Arabidopsis thaliana: one gene and its partners. The protein of the gene in region 1 interacts with the protein of each later gene in a pairwise test. Each region holds a gene or a part of one and is shown in the gene's direction. Other genes may lie near its edges. The genes, in order: RAP2.7, LKP2, TPR3 and COL2.

The links.
Region 2: the proteins of RAP2.7 (region 1) and LKP2 interact in a two-hybrid assay, tested with the Arabidopsis thaliana proteins (one study listed by BioGRID).
Region 3: the proteins of RAP2.7 (region 1) and TPR3 interact in a two-hybrid assay, tested with the Arabidopsis thaliana proteins (2 studies listed by BioGRID).
Region 4: the proteins of RAP2.7 (region 1) and COL2 interact in a two-hybrid assay, tested with the Arabidopsis thaliana proteins (one study listed by BioGRID).

Annotation. Positions count from the first base shown.
Region 1 is NC_003071.7:12,225,147-12,230,541, reverse strand, and holds RAP2.7 (uncharacterized protein), read left to right. Parts: upstream 1-1,917; 5' UTR 1,918-2,290; coding exon 2,291-2,802; intron 2,803-2,897; coding exon 2,898-2,923; exon of another isoform or gene 2,924-2,951; coding exon of another isoform or gene 2,952-2,991; coding exon 2,992-3,022; intron 3,023-3,106; coding exon 3,107-3,194; intron 3,195-3,276; coding exon 3,277-3,422; coding exon of another isoform or gene 3,423-3,426; exon of another isoform or gene 3,427-3,528; coding exon 3,529-3,573; coding exon of another isoform or gene 3,574-3,680; coding exon 3,681-3,900; intron 3,901-3,975; coding exon 3,976-4,086; exon of another isoform or gene 4,087-4,158; coding exon 4,159-4,374; 3' UTR 4,375-4,886; downstream 4,887-5,395.
Region 2 is NC_003071.7:8,193,972-8,199,223, reverse strand, and holds LKP2 (LOV KELCH protein 2), read left to right. Parts: upstream 1-1,740; 5' UTR 1,741-1,968; coding exon 1,969-2,213; intron 2,214-2,841; coding exon 2,842-4,432; 3' UTR 4,433-4,712; downstream 4,713-5,252. Other genes in the region: AT2G18920 (uncharacterized protein), read left to right, coding at 1,064-1,471; AT2G18910 (hydroxyproline-rich glycoprotein family protein), read left to right, coding at 5,093-5,252.
Region 3 is NC_003076.8:9,509,366-9,517,295, reverse strand, and holds the start of TPR3 (TOPLESS-related 3), read left to right. Parts: upstream 1-1,888; 5' UTR 1,889-2,032; coding exon 2,033-2,112; intron 2,113-2,198; coding exon 2,199-2,378; intron 2,379-2,459; coding exon 2,460-2,573; intron 2,574-2,794; coding exon 2,795-2,953; intron 2,954-3,055; coding exon 3,056-3,230; intron 3,231-3,317; coding exon 3,318-3,447; intron 3,448-3,544; coding exon 3,545-3,657; intron 3,658-3,743; coding exon 3,744-3,879; intron 3,880-3,983; coding exon 3,984-4,093; intron 4,094-4,250; coding exon 4,251-4,472; intron 4,473-4,549; coding exon 4,550-4,645; intron 4,646-4,717; coding exon 4,718-4,810; intron 4,811-4,974; coding exon 4,975-5,102; intron 5,103-5,289; coding exon 5,290-5,524; intron 5,525-5,609; coding exon 5,610-5,771; intron 5,772-5,868; coding exon 5,869-5,943; intron 5,944-6,148; coding exon 6,149-6,283; intron 6,284-6,375; coding exon 6,376-6,486; intron 6,487-6,603; coding exon 6,604-6,783; intron 6,784-6,906; and 7 more. UniProt on the Arabidopsis thaliana protein: Transcriptional corepressor. Negative regulator of jasmonate responses.
Region 4 is NC_003074.8:486,533-491,405, reverse strand, and holds COL2 (CONSTANS-like 2), read left to right. Parts: upstream 1-1,938; 5' UTR 1,939-2,131; coding exon of another isoform or gene 2,132-2,233; 5' UTR 2,234-2,317; coding exon of another isoform or gene 2,318-2,352; 5' UTR 2,353-2,450; coding exon of another isoform or gene 2,451-2,568; 5' UTR 2,569-2,781; coding exon 2,782-3,465; intron 3,466-3,566; exon of another isoform or gene 3,567-3,608; coding exon 3,609-3,968; 3' UTR 3,969-4,337; downstream 4,338-4,873. Other genes in the region: AT3G02400 (SMAD/FHA domain-containing protein), read right to left, coding at 1-1,576; AT3G02390 (uncharacterized protein), read right to left, coding at 2,132-2,233, 2,318-2,352, 2,451-2,568. UniProt on the Arabidopsis thaliana protein: Putative transcription factor. Does not affect flowering time.

The DNA of each region.
Region 1 (5,395 bases):
TTTAAAGTGTACATGTAATTTTTACTCTACATAATGTAAAGTAACGTTGTCCACATAAAATAAAAATCCATACATACGAGAAAGAGAAAACAGAAGAAAACAAAACTATATACAATACACAAGTTGTTAAATAATGAGAGAATCACGTGTTCTTCATGCACATGTAAGAGACTATGAAATAAGGATAACACCGTAGATAATATCTTATTGATCAAATGAAGCCTAATCTTTTTTTTAAGATTAGCGTTAAGACAGATATTCTCTATATTTGAGTAAATCCCAGCCGTTGGATCACTGACCTATACCTTATTGACCAATCCCAATCGTTAGTACAATGCCGTCCAAGAAAGAGAGCTTGCAATCGCATGTTTTAGATGTATGCTATTAACCCTAAATCCTCAATTTCTCGATCTCAATCTTGCTATGTGGTGGGTGATACATCAATGGTAATTGATATATTATTCTTTTATATATTTGTGGTTTTGTTAAAGAAGGTATCAAATCTGATGCTCTGAAAAAGTGTGATTTTTTTACTGGATTTTAGTCTATGTAAGTATGTATTATGGACAGAGTTTAAACTTGAATCCGAACCATTTAAGACCGGAAAAATTTCATGCTATTCTCAAACTAAAAGAAACGATTAACCATAATTAGATCTATTAAAAGTGGATACATCAATCAAATAATAATATGGGCTGTGATAATATAGTTGTATCAATACTCGGGACAAAAATGCAACACGCTACAATGGTAGATTCAATTATACCGTATGAATGAAAACATTGCATGTGGGCTACTTCTTACGAAGAGACATGTTCACTTCCAAAACTAGTACTAGTCAAATGATTCGACATAACCTGAATACCAAATGCTATATCAAAAATGGCAAATATTCAACTAATAACTAAAAAGAACAATACTTTTAATTTTCTTATTAAAAAAGTTCTAGATAATAACCTTTTGAGATTTGATTTTCGAAGATATTAATAACGGCAGATTACTAAATGCAAAATTACAAGAAAAAAATTTATATTATGTGATTTTCTAGTAAATGTCGATTCTACCGTAGTTGACTACGTGTTGGCGATGAATCTTCTGAGCGAATTTTCGGGAAAGTTTGACAACATCATCTATGTCATCAATCACCATCCCCCGCTTCACTGAGGCATGATCAATGCTCTCATGGTAGCATACAAAGTCAAACATAAGTCATACTCATCACCCACAATTCTACAACAATATGCTTATCATAGGACATTAAAATCAAGGACGAGGAAACTACAAGAGCTAAAGACATCGCGGACAAAACCATATAAGTAGTGGTTAATACAACAACCGTTCACTCATACGATTAGCACTATAATAACACCTCGGTCATATACACTAATCAAAAATACCAATCCACTAATCCTAGACCTATGACTCAAATACCATCTGCCCATGTCCAAGTCCAACATCCCATCCTCTAATGGCATACTTGGACCAATATCCATCAAGCCAAATTGGTGCACACACTCAATCTCAAAACACACCAACGTACATTCCTAATTAACTCATGCAATCAACACTATGTCACCCCAAAACCCAAACCAAACGACGTGAAAAAACATGTAACACACGAACCAAATCACATTTTACTCTTGTTAACATTAACGAATCAACTACACCTACAAAAATCTAATGTAACAAGCATGGGTTAAAAAAAACAATACTGCAGCGATCATTACTCTTGTTTTGGTCGGAACTAAAAGTTGATGTTTCATTTCATGTATTGTATTGTCTCCTTTGAAAACCAAAGCATTGACCAAAAGCAGTACGTACCGGCAAAAAAAAAAAAAAAAAAAACCGGAAACTTACTTAGCCGGTATACCACTGCCAAAAAAGGACCAACAACAATATGTTAAAATTTTATTATAAAGTTATTATACACATTTATAGTTACAGAGAGAGAAAAACAACTTTATTATAAATAATGATCATCCTCTAAAATTGGGTCTGAAATGTTCCCTCACACGTCTCCTTCTATCTTCTTCTCCACTTTAAAAAAAAAAAATATCCGTCTCACTCTCTCGCCGCCGGTAACATTTCCCGGCGACAAAACTTCTCTACTCTCACCATTCCTCCATCGTAATCTCTAAATTCTTCTCCATTCTCTTCTTCCTCCCGATCATCTCGAGCTCTTCGTGAGAGATTATGTGATTATGTAATCGTTGTTGCTGTAGAAGACGATCTCTAACAACTGATTCCTTCATCATCACCTTCGCTAGATTTGTAATTTTCAGAGCTTGAGATGTTGGATCTTAACCTCAACGCTGATTCTCCCGAGTCGACTCAGTACGGTGGTGACTCATACTTAGATCGGCAGACATCAGACAACTCCGCCGGGAATCGAGTGGAAGAGTCCGGTACATCGACGTCGTCAGTTATCAATGCCGATGGAGACGAAGACTCTTGCTCTACTCGAGCTTTCACTCTCAGTTTCGATATTTTAAAAGTCGGAAGTAGTAGCGGCGGAGACGAAAGCCCCGCCGCTTCAGCTTCCGTTACTAAAGAGTTTTTTCCGGTGAGTGGAGACTGTGGACATCTACGAGATGTTGAAGGATCATCAAGCTCTAGAAACTGGATAGATCTTTCTTTTGACCGTATTGGTGACGGAGAAACGAAATTGGTAACTCCGGTTCCGACTCCGGCTCCGGTTCCGGCTCAGGTTAAAAAGAGTCGGAGAGGACCAAGGTCTAGAAGTTCACAGTATAGAGGAGTTACTTTTTATAGAAGAACTGGTCGATGGGAGTCACATATTTGGTAAGTTTTTTTTTTTTGTTGTTGATGATAATACAAGTTTCTCGATTTAGTAATTTTTATCAGTGAGATTGATTCAATTTTTTTTTGTTTTGTAGGGATTGTGGGAAACAAGTTTATTTAGGTAAATTACAATTTTTGTTAAAATTTTGATGATTAAGATTATTGATTCATGGTTGTTGATTTATATAGGTGGTTTCGACACTGCTCATGCTGCAGCTAGGTAATTTTTGGATTATTATAGATAAAAGTTTTGTTTTCGGAATTGTTAAGGTTTGGATTTTGATTAGTGTTTGTGTTTTTGTAGAGCTTATGATCGAGCTGCTATTAAATTTAGAGGTGTTGATGCTGATATCAACTTTACTCTTGGTGATTATGAGGAAGATATGAAACAGGTTTTTGGATATAAGTCTTTTGTTTTGGTTATATGATTGTTTTGAGTAGTTTTTTTTTTAACTGTGTTATCTTCTTGTTTAGGTACAAAACTTGAGTAAGGAAGAGTTTGTGCATATACTGCGTAGACAGAGCACGGGGTTTTCGCGGGGGAGTTCGAAGTATCGAGGGGTTACGTTACACAAATGTGGTAGATGGGAAGCTAGGATGGGGCAGTTTCTTGGTAAAAAGTGAGCAATTTTGTTCTTTAATATGAACTTTTTGATTTTAGAAAGGGTATGAAACTAGGAATGGTGTCTAAGTAGTGGTTAGGTGATTAAGATGCTTGAATTGCAGGTATATTTATCTTGGGCTGTTCGACAGCGAAGTAGAAGCTGCAAGGTTCCTTAATGATCATTGTTTGATAGAAACCTTTAGTAGAACTTCACTTTGTTTTTATCAAAGCCAACATGAAGTTTCTTTCTTTCTAAACATTTTCTTGACAACAGGGCTTATGACAAGGCTGCAATCAACACTAATGGTAGAGAAGCAGTCACGAACTTCGAGATGAGTTCATACCAAAATGAGATTAACTCTGAGAGCAATAACTCTGAGATTGACCTCAACTTGGGAATCTCTTTATCGACCGGTAATGCGCCAAAGCAAAATGGGAGGCTCTTTCACTTCCCTTCTAATACTTATGAAACTCAGCGTGGAGTTAGCTTGAGGGTAACTAACTTTCAAATACCAATCTCTCATGAATTCAAAACGTACGTTTCTTATCGTCTTTTAAACAAACTGCAGATAGATAACGAATACATGGGAAAGCCGGTGAATACACCTCTTCCTTATGGATCCTCGGATCATCGCCTTTACTGGAACGGAGCATGCCCGAGTTATAATAATCCCGCCGAGGTAAAAACATAGAATCAAAGTGAAACAACACAATGTAGTCGCAAGACAATGAAACAATGTTTGTTTTTTCAGGGAAGAGCAACAGAAAAGAGAAGTGAAGCTGAAGGGATGATGAGTAACTGGGGATGGCAGAGACCGGGGCAAACAAGCGCCGTGAGACCGCAGCCACCGGGACCACAACCACCACCATTGTTCTCAGTTGCAGCAGCATCATCAGGATTCTCACATTTCCGGCCACAACCTCCCAATGACAATGCAACACGTGGTTACTTTTATCCACACCCTTAACTTGTAAGGGGACATATGAGAGTTTTTTTACCATCTCTCTCTCTCTCAACACTCTAGTCCCCTTTCAAAAATGTCATTTGGGTTTTAGATTTTTCACATACAATGATCAATTTTTCCAAATTCAGATGAGAAAATGTGTTTTTTTTTACATCAAAATTTGGTTTGTTGAGAAAAAACTTTATCAACTAAATGGTAAAAAAAATGTGTATGTTTGTGGTAAATTTTAAATCTTCTCAAAATGTCTTTACCTAATAAGGTTTGTTTATGTGAAAATATGTTTTTTTGGTAAGAGGACTCTTGAAATTTGGAAGGTACAATTTGTAACAAAAAATAAAATATGAGGATGAAGTTTTGTCGTTTTATGTGAAGGTTTGATAGTATAAGATATTTTGATTAAAATAACACTGTTGAAAAGAACAGTAAAGAGAGATAGTGATAGGTTTTGGCTGCCTCTTCGGAACCCCGAAACGATTTGGCAAAAACATTACATTCTTATTTGTATACATATTCGGATATAGTGCCAAATCTAAATGCTTATTCTATAGTCACGTGTGAAATGTATTGTACTTAACTATTCAGTGAGTCATGCATAATATGGTTTAAACTTTTGGAATAGATTAGATGCTCTGTATTTTCTAAACTATATCAACTAAACAAATAATTAGGAAATATTTTTAGTCAAATGGTTAACGGTAAGTCATTAAACCGAAACGTCCACAAATGACGAAGATCCTAGGATATTTGTAAAAATTTAGTACTTTTTAAAAACAAGGACGAAACATTCGAACTACTTTTTTTTGGGCTACGTTGGTTTTTTGTTATATAGTCAACAAAAAACTTAAAGAAAATGGTGTAGTTGTTATGCCAATTGTCAAGCTAAAAGAAAAATAAGAGATTCCCGATCTTCTGTTCTGTCAAATCAAATCTCTAAGTCTATCTACCGTTCCGGGTAATGTAATAATATTCAGTAAAGATGTCATGTCTTAAAGAAACTAAATTTATTATTCATAATATTCCAAAA
Region 2 (5,252 bases), 4.0 Mb from region 1:
CATCTATCGGTTGGTTTTAATTTTCCTTCACTTCTAAGTAGTTCGTCTCTTCCTCTTTTAAGAAGTCGAAGATCACTTCTTTCCTGCCAGTTATTAATATTTAGTTTTCTAATATCCTAGAGTATATGTTACAAAACCAAATTCATTTGTATTATTGAGAATGACTAACTGTTTCATTCGCTCCCTCTTGTTCATTCACTCCCATCGTTTCATTCGCTCCCTCCTCTTCATTCGCTTCCTTGTGATTTTCATCCAAGGACTCCAGCTGTTAAATCAAGTAAAGTGAGAACCAAATTCATTTGTATTAGAAAAAAAAAAAAAAGACAATTCACATTTGCATCAGCCGATTTACTGGTTTTCTCCGGCAAAGTCTCGACCACCTCAGTGACATGTGAATGGTCAACCCATCTATTGCTTTCATTCCACTTGTTTGGTGGCTCTCCCATCTCCAAGGTCTCGTCATTCCTAATCGGAAAACTATTTAGTGGCTCTCCCAAATAGTTCGGTTGTATGCGATGGTGTTAAAGCAGATGCATGGAACATGTGCAAATACCATACTCAATTGAGAGGTGTATTCCTTGGGCAATATAACTTTGCTATATGGCTGCCACTTAATCTGAAAAAATATAATCTAAGTATTTAATATAGAACAAATGCATATGACAAAGAGATGAAATTTTGTTAGGTACCTCATCTTCCTTCATGTCTACAAGCATCTCTTGATAGTGTCCCCCACTTCTGTTGGCACAATTTTTGGTATACGGTTTATATATCTTTGCCCACTCAACCATTAAAGGAAAACTGGATGGAAATAGTTGTTGAAAGATAGTAAATCGCTCTAATGCAAATACCTACACGAAAAAATAAAAAACAATTAACATTATACAAATAATCAACATCAACATAATTAGTTTTTGTTTCACATAAAAACTTTACTTGCAGAGCAAAGACAAAACCGCAGAAAAATGTGGTTTGACCTTTAGTAAAAGCCTTCTTCCATTTGCATAAAGCGTCTTTTAGGATAGTTGAAGATGATGTCTACCCTCTAAACACACAAGATTATATGGCAGACACCACCCAAAACCAAGGCGTAACACAAACACGTAACAGTGTACAAACTTCTTCTAGACGTGCAAGGCAACCTCGAAGAAGGTCTATCATTGAAAGCGTGATCGAAAATAGTGGAAACTTTATTACGGAGTATCGTGAAAGACGGGGTGTTGTACTTTTGTATCAAGATGTTATTAACGCTCTTAGACGTCTTGATGTCCCGAAGCGTACACCATTCTGGCGGGCTGCAGTACGATGTCTTGCTCAAGCCAACTATGCATCGGCTTTTGTTGCTCTAGAAGAAGAGGAAAATATTGATTGGCTTGAAGCTATTACTGGATTCAGCAAAGACGGAGAACGTTTCGATGAGCAAGAATTGGGTTTTGGATGCAATGGTTTCATGATAAATTCAAGTTTCTAATGTTTTTAAATCAATAAAACTGATTCTAATACACTCATTTGGTAAAACCAAAAAAATCTCATAAGAAACTTACAGGATATTTTGTGTAAACCGGATAGATAAACTAAACCGGTAAGGTAAAATTAAGAAACCGGTCTGGTTAAAGATGGAAAAGGAGAGGCACTGAGAAGAGCCGAGTCATCGACCGACCGAATCATCTCTCTTCTTCTTCTTCTCCTCCTCTTAGAAGTGGGCGGTGGAGACTTCCATTACCTACAAATATCAGATTCCTCTTTTCTTCGCTCGATTCCATTTCAAAATCTGTTCTTCTATCTCCTGTTCCTGAAGAAGACGATTTCTGGGTTTGTCTAAAGTTTGGAACTTTTTTCCTGTGGAGACTTCGATTACCTACAGATATCAGATTCCTCGATTCAAAATCAAACTTTGTTCTTCTGGGTCTCTTCTCCTGTTGCTGAGGAAGAAGATTAGTGGGCTTAAGCTTTATTTTGTGGGTGTGTATGCAAAATCAAATGGAGTGGGATAGTGATTCCGATCTCAGCGGTGGAGATGAAGTGGCGGAGGATGGATGGTTCGGTGGAGATAACGGAGCGATTCCGTTTCCGGTAGGTAGTCTTCCTGGCACGGCGCCGTGTGGGTTTGTGGTCAGCGATGCTCTTGAACCTGACAACCCTATCATTTATGTTAACACTGTTTTTGAGATTGTTACTGGTTATCGAGCTGAAGAAGTTATTGGTCGAAATTGGTGAGTTTGCTCTTCTTGACTTTTACCCTAAATTTGTGGTGTTGATTTTGTTTTACTGTAGCGAATTTTGTCTCATTTGTGGTATTGGTACGATGTTACTAGAAAGCTTTGTTGAAAGCTGTTTTGACAGAAAGAAATTTATATTTCGATTCATTATTATGGTTCTTGTTGATTATGTTAGGTATTATTAGCTAGAACCATTTTGGAATCATGGGTTGGTTATTGAATTAGAAGTTTGTTGTGGAGGAACTAAGCTATAATGTGAGGTTCAGTTTGTAATGTTTCCTATGTCTGTGGATTAGTGTTTAGGAACTCGAACTTTGATAGTTTTTCACATGTCTTGATTGGTTTATGAAAGCCTTGGGATTATTGATTTTTGTAATATTGAATTGTAATGCGTTTTTGTCTAAGTATATATGTTTCTGTTGAATATGTTTCTCTTGGGTTTTAGCGGCTTTTGATCTGGTATTCCATGTTAATTATGCATATAGTTTAGTCTTTGTTCAATACTTGTGTGTGAGGAATTGTTCGCCAAAGTACTGTATCTGTTTAGTTGTTAGTTATCTATTCGATGAATTGAATAGGAGGGTCTTGTATCTGATTTGTGCTGTTGTTTTTTATTTGGCAGCCGTTTCTTGCAATGTAGAGGGCCATTTACTAAAAGAAGGCATCCAATGGTAGATTCTACAATTGTAGCGAAGATGCGACAATGTCTAGAAAATGGCATCGAGTTTCAAGGCGAGTTGCTCAACTTTCGGAAAGATGGATCTCCCTTGATGAACAAGCTGCGTCTAGTCCCTATCCGTGAAGAAGACGAAATCACTCATTTCATAGGCGTTCTCTTATTTACAGATGCAAAAATTGATCTTGGCCCATCTCCTGATTTATCTGCAAAAGAAATTCCTAGAATATCTCGCTCATTTACTTCTGCTTTACCAATCGGAGAGCGTAATGTTTCTCGTGGACTCTGTGGGATATTCGAACTGAGTGATGAAGTAATAGCTATCAAGATATTGTCACAGTTGACTCCTGGTGATATTGCATCGGTTGGTTGTGTATGTAGGCGGCTCAATGAGTTGACAAAGAATGATGATGTGTGGAGAATGGTCTGTCAAAACACATGGGGTACCGAGGCAACACGTGTTCTTGAGAGTGTTCCCGGTGCAAAAAGGATTGGTTGGGTGCGACTGGCCCGAGAGTTCACCACTCACGAAGCAACAGCATGGAGGAAGTTTTCAGTTGGAGGTACTGTTGAGCCTTCTCGGTGTAATTTCAGCGCATGTGCAGTTGGGAACAGGATTGTTATCTTTGGCGGGGAAGGTGTGAATATGCAGCCGATGAATGATACATTTGTGTTGGACCTTGGCTCGAGTAGTCCCGAGTGGAAATCTGTTCTGGTCAGCTCTCCTCCTCCGGGTCGCTGGGGTCACACACTTTCTTGTGTCAACGGTTCCCGTTTAGTAGTGTTTGGAGGTTACGGGAGCCACGGATTACTCAATGATGTGTTCTTATTAGACCTTGATGCAGACCCACCAAGCTGGAGGGAAGTATCCGGATTGGCCCCTCCAATACCAAGATCATGGCACAGTTCGTGCACACTTGATGGCACTAAGCTGATTGTATCTGGTGGTTGTGCTGATTCAGGAGCTCTACTCAGCGATACATTCCTGCTTGACCTATCGATGGATATACCTGCTTGGAGGGAGATACCGGTTCCATGGACTCCCCCATCTCGCCTCGGGCATACTCTAACTGTCTATGGTGACCGCAAGATTCTTATGTTTGGCGGTCTAGCTAAAAACGGTACTTTGAGATTCCGCTCTAACGATGTATACACGATGGATCTTAGCGAGGATGAACCGAGTTGGAGACCTGTGATTGGGTATGGATCTAGCCTCCCCGGAGGCATGGCAGCTCCACCACCAAGGCTGGACCATGTGGCAATCAGCCTTCCCGGTGGTAGAATCTTGATCTTTGGTGGTTCGGTTGCAGGGCTTGACTCGGCTTCTCAGCTTTATCTTCTTGATCCAAATGAGGAGAAACCGGCATGGAGAATACTGAATGTTCAGGGAGGTCCGCCGAGGTTTGCATGGGGACACACAACATGTGTGGTCGGAGGAACTCGATTGGTCGTATTAGGTGGTCAGACCGGTGAAGAGTGGATGTTAAATGAAGCACATGAACTGTTACTAGCAACTTCTACCACTGCAAGTACTTGATCAAGTGATGAAGTTAAAAAGGCATTTAGATGTGTTGGACAAAAGATCTATACATTGATCAAAAACATGTTCATATTGTCTGTACATGGTGAGTTTGATACGTCCATGTTTTGTTCATCTGTTGACTTAATGTTTTTTTTTTGTATATGCAATATTACGAATTGGATTGTACATAACGTCTTTTGTAGTGCAAGTGGCCAAATGATCTAAATCCAAACCTTTTTTTTTGTCCTCCCAAAATGTTTCATGTCTGATTGAAATCAAAATTATTGTGTTTAGGGTTTAGATCTTTTCTCCACGGATCATATAATAATTGTTTTTTTTTTTGAAGAATTATTAAGAAAAAAAAGGACCAAAAAAAAGAAAAGAAAGATTCGTCGGAAAAAGCAGGAAAAAAAAAAGAATGCAAGAAATGTGAAGTGTGTTTGACTCTTTCATTGGTCAGTGTGAAAAGTAAAGTACATTTACACTTGCAAGAAAAAAAACACAGAGACGAACCAAAACCTCACTCTCTCCCCTGAAACTAATCTTCCACTTTTTCACTGTCTGCAACTTGCAACTACAACTAGCAAGCAAGAACCTTTCTTCTTCTTCTTCTTAATCTCAGATTCTTGTCTGAAAACTTTCTCTTTCATTTTCTCTCAATTTAACACTTTCAAGATGCCGATCAACAAAGACCCATCAACACCTCCTCCTGTTATCGGAAAAATCGGTCCTTACACTGTCTTTATGACTCCTCCTGCGACTCCTAAACCACCTGAATCTCCCTCCGCTGTGTCTCAGAAGCCTGTGATGGCACCACCGGTTCTTCCTCCGCCGC
Region 3 (7,930 bases), on another chromosome or scaffold:
CAAACACACCTCATTTTATTCTAATATATCTAGAATTTCCAAATTTAGATTTTTACCTTATATAACATTTTTATAATTTAATGCTTTGATTTTTAATGCACTTTAAATTTGAATATTAAACATCTTCATATTAAAAATAGAGTCATTTGGAAATATTATTAATAAAACTATTTATAAAATTAAATAGTACAGAATTTATAAAATGTAATATCATATAATTTATCCATATATGGCACGCATTCTTACCTAGTTTATCCTTAAATTATCAAGAAAAAAACAAATTTAAAAATATTTTCTACATTTATGTTAATAAGTAAATTTTACTTAAGTTAGGAAACATAGTATCAAATTTCTTATTTTACTTAAGTTAGGTTTTGAAGAATTAACCTCGATTTGTATCTATCGTGTTTTTAAAAAATGAAAATTGACATTTATCCTTAAATTTATAAGATATATTTGTAAATTGTATTGTTCTCATTAGTATACCCTAATCACTTTTCTATCTCTCTATAAATACCTGTAAATCTCATTCTAAAATAAAGTCAATACATTTAGCCTCTATATGGTACCAAAGCTTACAATTCTAAATGGTATAAAGAATATATATGATATATTGTGAAAATGTTGGTGCCACTTACCTCGGTACCAATCCGGTTTTCTATTCTCGAATGAACCATATATATAGCACTTAATTCAAGCTGGAATGCTTCAGATTACTCATGTCTCCATTGGTGATCAGTTAGCAAATACATTCACTAAATCTTTAGCGAAATCAATATTTCAAAAAAAAAGTTCCAAAATTAGAGCTACACGAGTACTTCCATACTAAAAGGACGTATAAAGAATATACATGTAAACCATATTGTTATATCCTAATCATTTTTTTCTATCTCTTAAATACTTGTAAATCTTAATTCTAATAAAGTTAATGTATTCGGCCTCTATAAAATTTTATTTTATATATACTTAATAAGTTATTTTCATACTCCATATGTTTCTTTTATTTGATTTTCTAGAAAAAAAATGTTTCAAAAAGATTAATTTTATAGGTTTTCAATACAATACTTATTAGTTATAATTGATAAATTGTAAACTTCAATAAAAATTATTGAATATTATTGGTTTAAAGTTATTAAAAATTTTAAATTATAAAAAATAGTACATTTAAAAAACAAGATTTAATATGTCTTTTTTTAATATTTATGTTTTTCCTAAAAAATCAAATAAAAAGAAATATTAAAAATATTATTTTCCTTTTTTTATTATTTTTCTTTTCAAATATCTATTTTCTAAATCCATATTATGTTTTTCTTTTATAAATAATCTCATTTCGCCATGGAGAACACGAGTAATTCTCCTGGTGTATGCCTAAAAAAAAAAGCAAAGATTATAATATGAGTATATATAATTATATATGACGTAACCTGCGAGATGTTGAATTGTCCACATTGTAATTGTCACGAACACTTAATTAAATCTTGCGAAAAAGAGATCTCAAAAATATCGCGAGAAAAAGAAAAAAAGGATAATATGAGAAAAGCCAAACGAAGAGTGCATCGAAAGCTGAGAGCGACATAATAAAGGAGAGAGAAAAATGTGGGGACCAGACTGGACGTGTGCACAGAATATTCACACTATTTGAATTTTGTTTTCGAATCCGCCACTCTATCTCCAAATCAACTTATCACTCAATTTGATAATAACTTAACCTACCTCTCTTATAAGGAAGCCTACTTATCACCGACGAAGACTCCGCTTATATCTGATAAGTCGGTAGAACGATGTCTCTGTGCAAAGAAGAACGCGTCCAAGAAAGCGAGGTCTAAAGTTTCTCAATCCCCCAATCTTCTCCTCCTTCTTTATATATTCTCTCTCTCTCTCTCCATTTTTCTCTAAAAGCTAGAGCTCTTCAAAACCCTAGAAATCCTCGAAATCAGAGTCTTTACCTGGGCTCGTGTCTTCAGAGCTCGGATTCGTGTTTCTTTCGTCGTCTCTCTTCTTCGTTTCTCGTCAGATTTGAGATTCGTTGAGAATGTCGTCGTTGAGTCGAGAGTTGGTGTTTCTGATACTTCAATTTCTGGAGGAAGAGAAATTTAAGGAATCTGTGCACAGGTTAGTCTATTTATATGGTTTGTTTTGTGTTGTGTTGTGAGAGGCTGAATTTTGGGATTGACTGATTTGTAATTTGTTAAATATAGGCTTGAGAAAGAGTCAGGATTCTTCTTCAATACCAAGTATTTTGATGAGAAAGTTCTAGCTGGAGAATGGGATGATGTTGAGACGTATTTGTCAGGTTTTACTAAGGTTGATGATAACAGATACTCTATGAAGATTTTCTTTGAAATTAGGAAGCAGAAGTATCTCGAGGCTCTTGATCGGTATGATTATAAGCTGTCTTATTTGTTTTTTTACTCTTGAAGATTTGTGGTTTTAGAGTTTGATGTTCTCTGTTGTTACAGGCAAGAGAAGGCAAAAGCAGTTGAGATACTAGTGCAAGATTTGAGAGTTTTCTCCACTTTCAATGAGGAGCTTTACAAAGAAATCACTCAACTCTTAACTTTGCAAAACTTTAGGTATGATATATTGAATTTTGATCTCTCCTTGTTGATGTTTCTGTTGTTATGGAAAGTAGGAATATGAGACTTGGTTTAGGTTCAGTCCAAGTCGAGTTCGTGATGCTTTGTAGACTGTTTTTGTTTGGATGTGAAAGAGGGTGTGATACTCGAGTTTCTCTCTCGATTGTTTGCGTTTTGTGGATTGAAATTTGACATCAATGATTTTCATGAATCTGCAGGGAAAATGAGCAGCTTTCAAAATATGGAGACACTAAAACTGCTCGGGGCATAATGCTAGGCGAACTTAAAAAACTAATTGAAGCGAATCCACTTTTTCGTGATAAATTGATGTTCCCTACTTTGAGATCTTCGAGACTGCGGACTCTGATTAATCAAAGGTGTGTTTCTTTTTTCTTTCCTCATGACCATTCTGTATGTTGCAGATGAGGTTTGGATGACTTCGTTGTTGGATGATTCATTGTGCATATGTTCTCTTGCAGCCTCAATTGGCAGCACCAGTTGTGCAAGAATCCTAGGCCAAACCCAGATATTAAAACTCTATTCACAGACCACACTTGCACACTTCCGAATGGTCCTCTCGCACCTTCAGCAGTCAATCAGCCTGTTACTACTTTGACGAAGCCAGCAGCTTATCCGTCACTTGGACCTCATGTTGTAAGAAACCTCGATGTTTGACTGCTTTAATCATGTTTTTTGAATCTAAATTAATCTTAATGTTTGTGGAATCTGTATTACATGTAGCCCTTTCCACCTGGTCCTGCTGCTGCTAATGCTGGTGCTTTAGCTAGTTGGATGGCTGCTGCCTCTGGTGCTTCTGCTGTCCAAGCTGCCGTTGTTACACCTGCCTTGATGCCTCAACCTCAGAATCAAAGTTAGTTTTTGACGATCCTCTAGATTTCTAATCCTCGACTTATCAATAACTATCATTTCAGTTTCCATCAAAAACTTATTATTTTTCTTCCAAAAAGTGTCAATCTTGAAGCGACCAAGAACACCACCAGCAACTCCAGGTATAGTAGATTATCAGAATCCTGATCATGAACTAATGAAGCGTCTCCGCCCTGCTCCATCTGTGGAGGAGGTAACGCGAATTCTTTTCTTTTTCTGGAAAGCTGTTTATATAATTCTTGCATCTTCTCAAAATTCTAAGCATTTATCATTTTCCAGGTGACATATCCTGCTCCTAGGCAGCAAGCTCCATGGTCGCTGGAAGATTTGCCAACAAAGGCAGCTCTGGCGCTGCATCAAGGGTCCACTGTGACAAGCATGGAGTTCTACCCTATGCAAAACACGTTACTTCTTGGTATGGGGGTTTGAAAAAAAGAATACAAATTCTAAACTGTGTTTGAAGTTATATTTCTGTTATCTCTTATTTGGCTTTCTGAATGACCGTTTGAATGCCATCAGTTGGATCTGCGACGGGAGAAATCACATTGTGGGAACTTGCCGCTCGAGAGAGGCTGGTTTCAAGGCCATTCAAGATATGGGATATGTCTAATTGCTCACATCAGTTTCAGGTTTGTCTTTACAGCTAAGAAGTTTTTAGTTTATGTGTTTGATGTATAAAGGCGGAATTCAACCAAATGGCTATGAGAAGTGTTGGAGATAAAACGTATCAGCAAACTAGTTGCTGTGCAAGATTCTTATACTTGCCTTTCTTTTGGCATCATTCAGGCTTTGATAGCTAAAGAAACACCGATATCTGTCACTCGCGTTGCATGGAGTCCGGATGGAAATTTCATTGGTAAGCTTCCCGTCATGCATTGTTGGATTTTAATTGTATGTTGTCTATGGTCTCTGGTCTCAGTCTCTTATTGTGCAGGGGTTGCGTTTACAAAACATCTAATTCAGTTGTACGCTTTCTCTGGACCTAATGATCTTCGCCAACATACTGAGGTAAGCATACTTGTGATCTGTACGAGAAATATTGCGATGTAATAATATCCCACTGAGACTAGATCACTTTTTCACAGATTGATGCCCATGTCGGTGCTGTGAACGACTTGGCTTTCGCCAATCCAAACAGACAACTATGTGTAATTACTTGCGGAGATGATAAATTAATCAAGGTGAGATAAAGAGTCACAAAGTTTCACTGTTAGATATCAATGCAGCTGGCTAACTTGATCAATGTGGAACAGGTATGGGATGTTTCTGGTCGGAAGCATTTTACTTTTGAAGGCCACGACGCTCCAGTTTATTCCATTTGCCCTCATTACAAAGAGAACATTCAGGTGCGGCAAGGATTGAATCAAACTATATTTTACATCAATTATTATACTGTTTTACCAATCCGTTTGAAGAACAATAAAGTAGACGACACATTTCATATAGTATTATCTTGCCTATGAATTTCTGTTCTTTACCAAAATACATCTCGTTCTTATTTGGATTTCAGTTCATATTTTCAACCGCCATAGATGGGAAAATAAAAGCCTGGCTTTATGATAATCTGGGTTCCAGAGTTGACTATGATGCTCCCGGTAAATGGTGTACGAGGATGCTTTACAGTGCTGATGGTACTAGGTAAGATCTTAAACTCATAAACATTTCCCTCTTCTATACCGCTTGTTCTTCACTCCTCAGTTTCCAAAATCTTCAGATTCTTTTGTTTACTCCGGAGGATACTGAGTTGTGTCCTTGAGTTTCTAATCTTATCTTTCTGTTTTAAGTTTACCTTTTCAGTGCTTTCTGATGTTTTTTCCCCCTTCAGATTGTTCTCTTGTGGAACGAGTAAAGATGGAGATTCTTTCCTAGTTGAGTGGAATGAAAGTGAAGGATCAATTAAAAGGACGTATAAAGAGTTTCAGAAAAAGTTGGCAGGTGTGGTTCAGTTCGATACCTCAAAAAACCATTTTCTGGCTGTTGGTGAAGATGGACAAATCAAATTTTGGGATATGAACAACATCAATGTTCTGACTAGCACTGATGCTGAGGGTGGACTTCCGGTAAGTCCCAAAGATTCTTTTTCCCATGGCTTGTTGCTTGGATGTTCGTCTTTTTAGGTTTGCATATAACTTGTCCCAACTTCAGGCTCTTCCCCATTTGAGATTTAACAAGGACGGCAATCTTCTAGCCGTTACTACGGCAGATAACGGATTTAAGATCCTAGCTAATCCAGCTGGTTTCCGATCTCTTCGAGCGATGGAAACTCCAGCTTCTGAAACGATGAGGACTCCAGTTGATTTCAAAGCTGTAATGTTTCTCAACTTTGTATTACATTTTTTCCCTTTTTTACATCCACTGTCATTACAAGCTGTCTCGGTTTACACACTTTGGTATATTCTGTTAGGTTCCTGGTGCTCCTGTTGCGTCTGTCAATTGTAAAGTTGAACGAGGCTCTCCTGTTAGACACTCACAAATGCTGGTAAAATCACTCATTAAATGCTATGTTTCTAGCCATTTCTATAATTTATTATTCTGTTCTGGATTTTCGGTTGTAAATGAAGTGAACTTCCATTTGTCGAAATTGTAGTTTACTATTCTCTGACTATAGTAGTTGACTGTTTCCGATTTTTTTGTCATGTTTAAAAAAAATATTTACTAATCTTTTTTTTCTGAATATCCTCAAGAATGGAGTTGATCCCTCAAAGTCGAGAATCGATGACTCAACAGACAAACCAAAATCTTGGCAATTAGCTGAAATCTTGGACCCTTCCCAGTGTTTCCAAGCTACTTTACCCGATACCGCTGGTTCTTCCACAAAGGTTTGTGCAGTTATCTTTCTCAGAAAGTTGTTGGATTTCTATAAATGTTTTGAAATTGAGGCTTAATTTTCTCATGCTGCGTGGGAAAGCAGGTTGTTCAGCTTCTGTATACGAATTCCGGTGCTGGAATCTTGGCACTAGGTTCCAATGGTATCCAGAGACTCTGGAAGTGGGTTCCCAATGAGCAGAACCCTAGTGGAAAGGTAATCGTAAAAAAGAGTTTGAGAGAGCTTAATGCATGCTGTCTGCGGTTTTAAAGAGTTAGAGATAGCTTAATGCATGCTGTGTGCGGTTTTATTTAAGTACTGTTTATTATGCAGGCAACTGCTACTGTTGTTCCTCAGCATTGGCAACCAAACAGTGGTCTTCTTATGACCAATGATGTGTCTGGTGTAAACCTTGAAAACGCTGCCCCATGCATCGCTCTCTCTAAGAACGACTCATATGTCATGTCTGCTGCTGGAGGAAAAGTCTCGTTGTTCAACATGATGACTTTTAAGGTATATATTATCTATATGAACTTAAAAAAAGCCACAAGATTTCTAACTGAAAATGTTCTCACACTAATCTAGTAAACTCTTTTGGTTGTTCTAATTTCCACAAAAAAACTATTGGCCTTATAGGTGATGACAACATTCATGCCGCCTCCACCAGCATCAACGTTTTTGGCGTTCCATCCTCAGGACAATAACGTCATCGCCATTGGAATGGAAGACTCTACGATTCACATCTATAATGTCCGAGTGGATGAGGTAAGTAGTTTCTAGTACTAACCATTGCCACTTATGTAGTCTTTTTGATCTATGACAAGGAAAAACTTGTGAACCTTACGTTTTTTGAAGAAATGGTTCTCATAGCTTCACATATGTTTTACAGTTTAATTTTCCCCTCACTGCTAATGTTGCCTTAAAACTCTATCAACGATCTGAAACTTGCATATTGTGTTCCATCAGGTCAAATCAAAGCTAAAGGGTCACCAGAAACGCATCACAGGCCTAGCATTTTCTACAGCCCTCAACATCTTGGTTTCATCTGGTGCTGATGCACAGGTGTGTTATGCTGCGTCTTGTTGTTGTTGTTGTTGTCCTGTAGTAAATATATCTCAACTGAAGGGAAAAATGCTTGATTATTTTGTGTTGTTTCCTTGCTGGATTTTCTACCATTAGACTTATCTAATCTAGGAGGATACTTATTCTTCCTGTTGTCTTCTCTTAGATCTGCTTTTGGAGCATTGACACATGGGAGAAGAGGAAATCCGTTGCAATACAAATGCCAGCAGGAAAAGCCGCCAATGGAGACACGCGGGTTCAGTTTCATGTGGATCAGTTGCGTATTCTGGTAGTCCACGAGACACAACTGGCGGTATTTGATGCTTCCAAGATGGAATGTATCCGACAGGTATCTATGACTATGATGAGATCATCTCTGTAAATCCACTTATATAAAATGGATCATCTCTGACCTGGCATGTATATATGAAATGCAAGGTCATATATACATATTCTTAATCATTATTTTGAAATTTGTAATGACTTATGTTCTCTTGTTTTCATGTCTCAGTGGATTCCACAAGACTCGCTGTCTGCTCCTATATCTTCAGCGGTGTACGCATGCAACAGCCAGCTGATCTACACCACTTTCCGCGAT
Region 4 (4,873 bases), on another chromosome or scaffold:
TATTGTTCCATCCCTGCCCAACCTTTTCCTCATCTAATGTCGCAAATCCAGCCTCCTCGACCTTGCAGTCACTTTCCTCGTCGTGACACTCTTCTTCAATTTCTTGTAAGTTTTCTGTCTCTCCATCTTCTCTAACAGTACAGTTCAGGTCATCTTCTCCTACGGTGCTTTTCTTCCTTAACTCAATCTCCACCTGCTCTACCCTCTTAGCCCCACCACCAACCCTCTCATATTCTTTATCACTTCTTTCACTGCAACCTTCTTGAGCTTCTTTTTCATTTTCATTTTCTCTTTCTCTTTCAATATCTTGTGAGTTCTCTGTTTCTCCATCTTCTTTATCAGTGCATTTCAGGCCTTCTACTGTGCTTTTCTTCCTTAACTCAATCTCCACCTGCTCTACCCTCTTAGATCCATCGCATTCCTTCTCATCTTCTTGATCACATATGTCATCACTTCTTCCACTGCAACCTTCCTGAGCTTCATTTTCCTTATCTTCTTCAACATGACAGTTCTTCAAAACCTCTTCTCCGGCATCATCATTTCTAGTCTCCTTGGATGGCTCCTCATCCATTTTCTTCCTCTTTGCACGGCTTTTCCGGGCTTGGTTCAGGACCATCTCCAACTCCAGAAAAGACTCTCCACCAATTTCAGTCGTCTTGCTTCTGGTAGACCTTGTAGTTCTCTTCTCATCTTTAACCTCCAATCCAAAACATTCATTTTCTATCTGCTTGCTCCTTGTCACTCTCTTCCTGCTTTTCACCTCTGAGATTTCCACTGCCTTGGGAGTATCCTCAACTTCCAATTTGATTGATTTCTGGACAATCTCACTGTTCTTACCTCTCCGAGCCCTAGAGTTGCCTTTTTTCTCCTCCACAACTTCTTCTTCCTCCGTAATTGCACTACTTGCGTTCTTCCGGGGCCTCCCAACCCTTTTTTTCTCCTCCACAACTTCTTCTTCCTTCGCAATTGCACTGCCTGCGTTCTTCCGAGGCCTCCCAACCCTAGCTTTGACCACCTTCTCAATTTCCACATCCAATTCCTCTTCTTTATCGGCGATATCGTCCAGATTCTTTTTCCTCGAAGCCCTAGTACTCTTGGGCAGTTCATTTTCCTCTTGCTTCGACGATCCACGCGTGCGCTTTGGTTTCTCCTGAACCGACTCAATAGGATCCGGATCCGGATCCGAAGCAGCAAGCCGCTTGTTGTTCCTCCTTGGCCTGGGCGGAAGCTTATGCTCCTGCGGCGCCTGAACAACATCACTCCCAAAGTTCACCAAAATGGAAGTGTACTCACCAAGCTTAATTTCGTCTCCATGGCTAAGATTGACGGGCGTATCTGAGTCGATAGTGTCAGAGTTCAATATGGTGCCGTTGGAAGAACCAAGATCGTGGATTATCCAGTTCTCGGAATCGGAAACGATCCGGAGGTGCTTGGTGGAGATTCCGGCGTCTTTGATGGCGATTTCATTACCACGGACGATTCGACCAATTCGGATAGTGGATCCGGGTTTAAACCCTAGAGAATCGCCAGCTCTTGGACCCTGGGTGAAGTCGAGCTTCAGCAATGGCGGAACCATCGTGCGTCTCGGGGAAGCTTTGCTTTGATTCAAAATAATGGAATTTTGAAATTTCGGATTTATGTCAAACTCAAAATCGAACGGAACAGTCCTGAAACAAAGAAACCCTTTCAAGCCCAATGGGCTTTTGCATTGTACAAACTATGAATATACAGTCCAGTCCATAAGTTACCAAAATATCTTCTTGTTACTACAGAGTACAGCCCATCCAAGTTTTTTTTTTGTTGTTGTTGTTGTTGTTGTAAAATGATGATTTATGCATGATTGACTATCAAATTGAAACAAGAAATGAGTTATAGTTGATTTAGATATATTATATATATAATATTTGTTGATATAAGTAAAAAACCAAAACAAAGGGAGTAAATATTCATTTCATGATCTAATAATTTCCCAAAAAATTAAATTACAATTTTGGCAATATTGTTTCAGTGAACAACTGAAAAACTCAACTTATCAACATTACTCCACAATTCACAAAAAAAAAAAGATTTATTTCTTGGTAACTGGAAGTGATGTTGATATAAGCTAATATATAACATTATAACTTGTGGCTCATGAGCATCCTAATCTCTTCACTAAAGGCTTATTTGTCACATTCTCATTGGTCACTCTAGATTCACCACTTTGCCATGTCAGCTTTTTCTTCTCATCCACCTGCAAAACAACATTTAAAACCAAAATGAGTTTCACTTTTATGTATTACTTTGTATAATCTTTGGTCACTACCTGATTACTTACCATGTATGTTCCAATAAGAAAAGTTTCCATCTTTGCTTAAAAGCAAAAAACTAAAATACCAAAAGATTCAAAAAAAAACCAAAACAGTAAAAGTAAATAGCAATCTCTGAGAATCTTATCCACGTCAGCTCACGGGTCCTACAGAGAAAGCTACAATAGGAAGAGATGTTTTCACTTACAGAAGATTTACTTGGTCTAGATTTGTTCTCCTTTGTGAAGGTTATGAGAAAAAAACTTTTTTGATGATTCATGACCTTGTTCAAAACTCAGACAGCCACAAGATGATCCAACTACTTTTAACAACCACTAACTCTGCGCCACGTGTATATCTCCAAAGATTCTATCTTTCCCCTCTCACCACCTAGATATAGTCTCATTAGCCTTCCCTCCTTTCTAATTACAATCTCTCCTTTTGCCAACAATCATTGCTTAAAAAACACATACCTTCTTCTTTAGTTATAAAAATGTTGAAAGAAGAGAGTAATGAGAGTGGTACTTGGGCACGAGCATGTGACACTTGTCGTTCAGCCGCCTGCACTGTCTACTGTGAAGCCGACTCTGCCTACTTGTGCACCACCTGTGATGCTCGAGTTCACGCAGCCAACCGTGTTGCTTCTCGCCATGAACGTGTTCGTGTCTGTCAGTCATGTGAGTCTGCCCCAGCTGCGTTTTTGTGTAAAGCAGACGCTGCGTCTCTTTGTACAGCTTGTGATGCAGAGATTCATTCCGCAAACCCACTAGCTAGACGTCATCAGCGAGTTCCGATTCTTCCATTATCTGCAAACTCTTGCAGCTCCATGGCCCCAAGTGAGACTGATGCTGATAACGATGAGGATGATCGAGAGGTTGCTTCGTGGTTACTCCCTAATCCAGGGAAAAACATCGGTAATCAGAATAATGGGTTCTTGTTTGGTGTTGAGTACCTTGATCTTGTGGATTACAGCTCCAGCATGGACAACCAATTCGAAGATAATCAGTACACTCACTACCAGAGGAGCTTTGGAGGAGATGGAGTTGTGCCGCTTCAAGTTGAAGAATCAACAAGTCACCTGCAACAAAGCCAACAAAACTTTCAGTTGGGTATCAACTATGGATTCTCCTCAGGAGCTCACTACAACAACAACTCCTTAAAGGACCTAAACCATAGCGTAAGCTTTTTATACACTTGCCAGCTCTTTAGTTCACAATAATCAGTATGCATGCTGTGTCATCACAAGTATGCTTCGCTATACATTGATTCTTTGCTCCTATAACCTCGGAAGATTGAAACTGTCTTTGTCTCTGTCATTAGGCATCCGTTTCATCAATGGACATCAGTGTTGTGCCAGAGTCAACTGCAAGTGACATAACAGTCCAACACCCAAGAACTACTAAAGAGACGATAGACCAACTATCTGGTCCTCCTACTCAGGTGGTGCAACAGCTTACTCCAATGGAGAGGGAGGCTAGGGTCCTGAGATACAGAGAGAAGAAGAAGACAAGGAAATTTGACAAGACAATAAGATATGCTTCAAGAAAGGCATATGCAGAGATAAGACCACGGATCAAGGGCAGATTCGCAAAGAGGATAGAAACTGAAGCTGAGGCTGAAGAAATCTTCTCAACATCGCTAATGTCTGAGACTGGATATGGAATTGTCCCTTCCTTCTAAACTCCTATGGCGAAGATAGACTAGATTGCATGCTGTAAATTACTTCTAGTTTGGATTTCTACAAGTTATTACTGCATATGGGTCCTTAGTTTTGTGACTTTTGTCAAACTAGTACGAGTTTAATCAGATATGTTCCTATAGCTGCAGTTGTTTAAGCAACATCTCGCTACATAATTGAATTGGTGAAATCTTATCATATGGAACAGTGCCTATCATATCTAATTGAATTGGTGCCACATGAAAGAGATATGCATCACTATGAGTAGCTGTAAGTAGAAAACTAAAAGCGGATTTCAAGTTGTCACTTCACAAGAAAGACAACGCCTAGTAGGTTCAAAGTAAATACCTTTCGATTATTTTCTGGCTGTAGAATCTTCTGTTTCTTGATACTTTCCAGATCACAAGAACACGTAAATCGCAGGTCAATTCCACATATGCCAACTCATTCCCTGAGGAAGGATTATTCAGAATAACATGATTTGTAATTTAAACAATTAAACTGATAACATAGAACAACTTTGTCCACACAAACTTAAGAAACTCCAAAAACCAACATGCAAATCAGCATTAATTGTCATTTTCGGTTAACGGGAATCATAAGTTAACGTATTCAGCCAAGTGGGAGTAAGATAGTGAAGATACTGAGAACCCTAATATACACCAGCAACTAGCATAGGATGTTGATGCCTATGCCAAATTCAAGTAAAGAAGGATAATTCTTTCTCTTTACCTTTTGGAATAAAGGACTATACTTTCTCACTTTTTATGGTATGTGCTGACAGTAAAGGATGATAGAGCAACGAAAAAGAAAGCACGACATTTAACCAAGCCTTACTGTTTCCCATCTGGAAATGTTCACAGAGCTCAACATTATTATACATCACAACCTATTTTTTTTTTCTTCT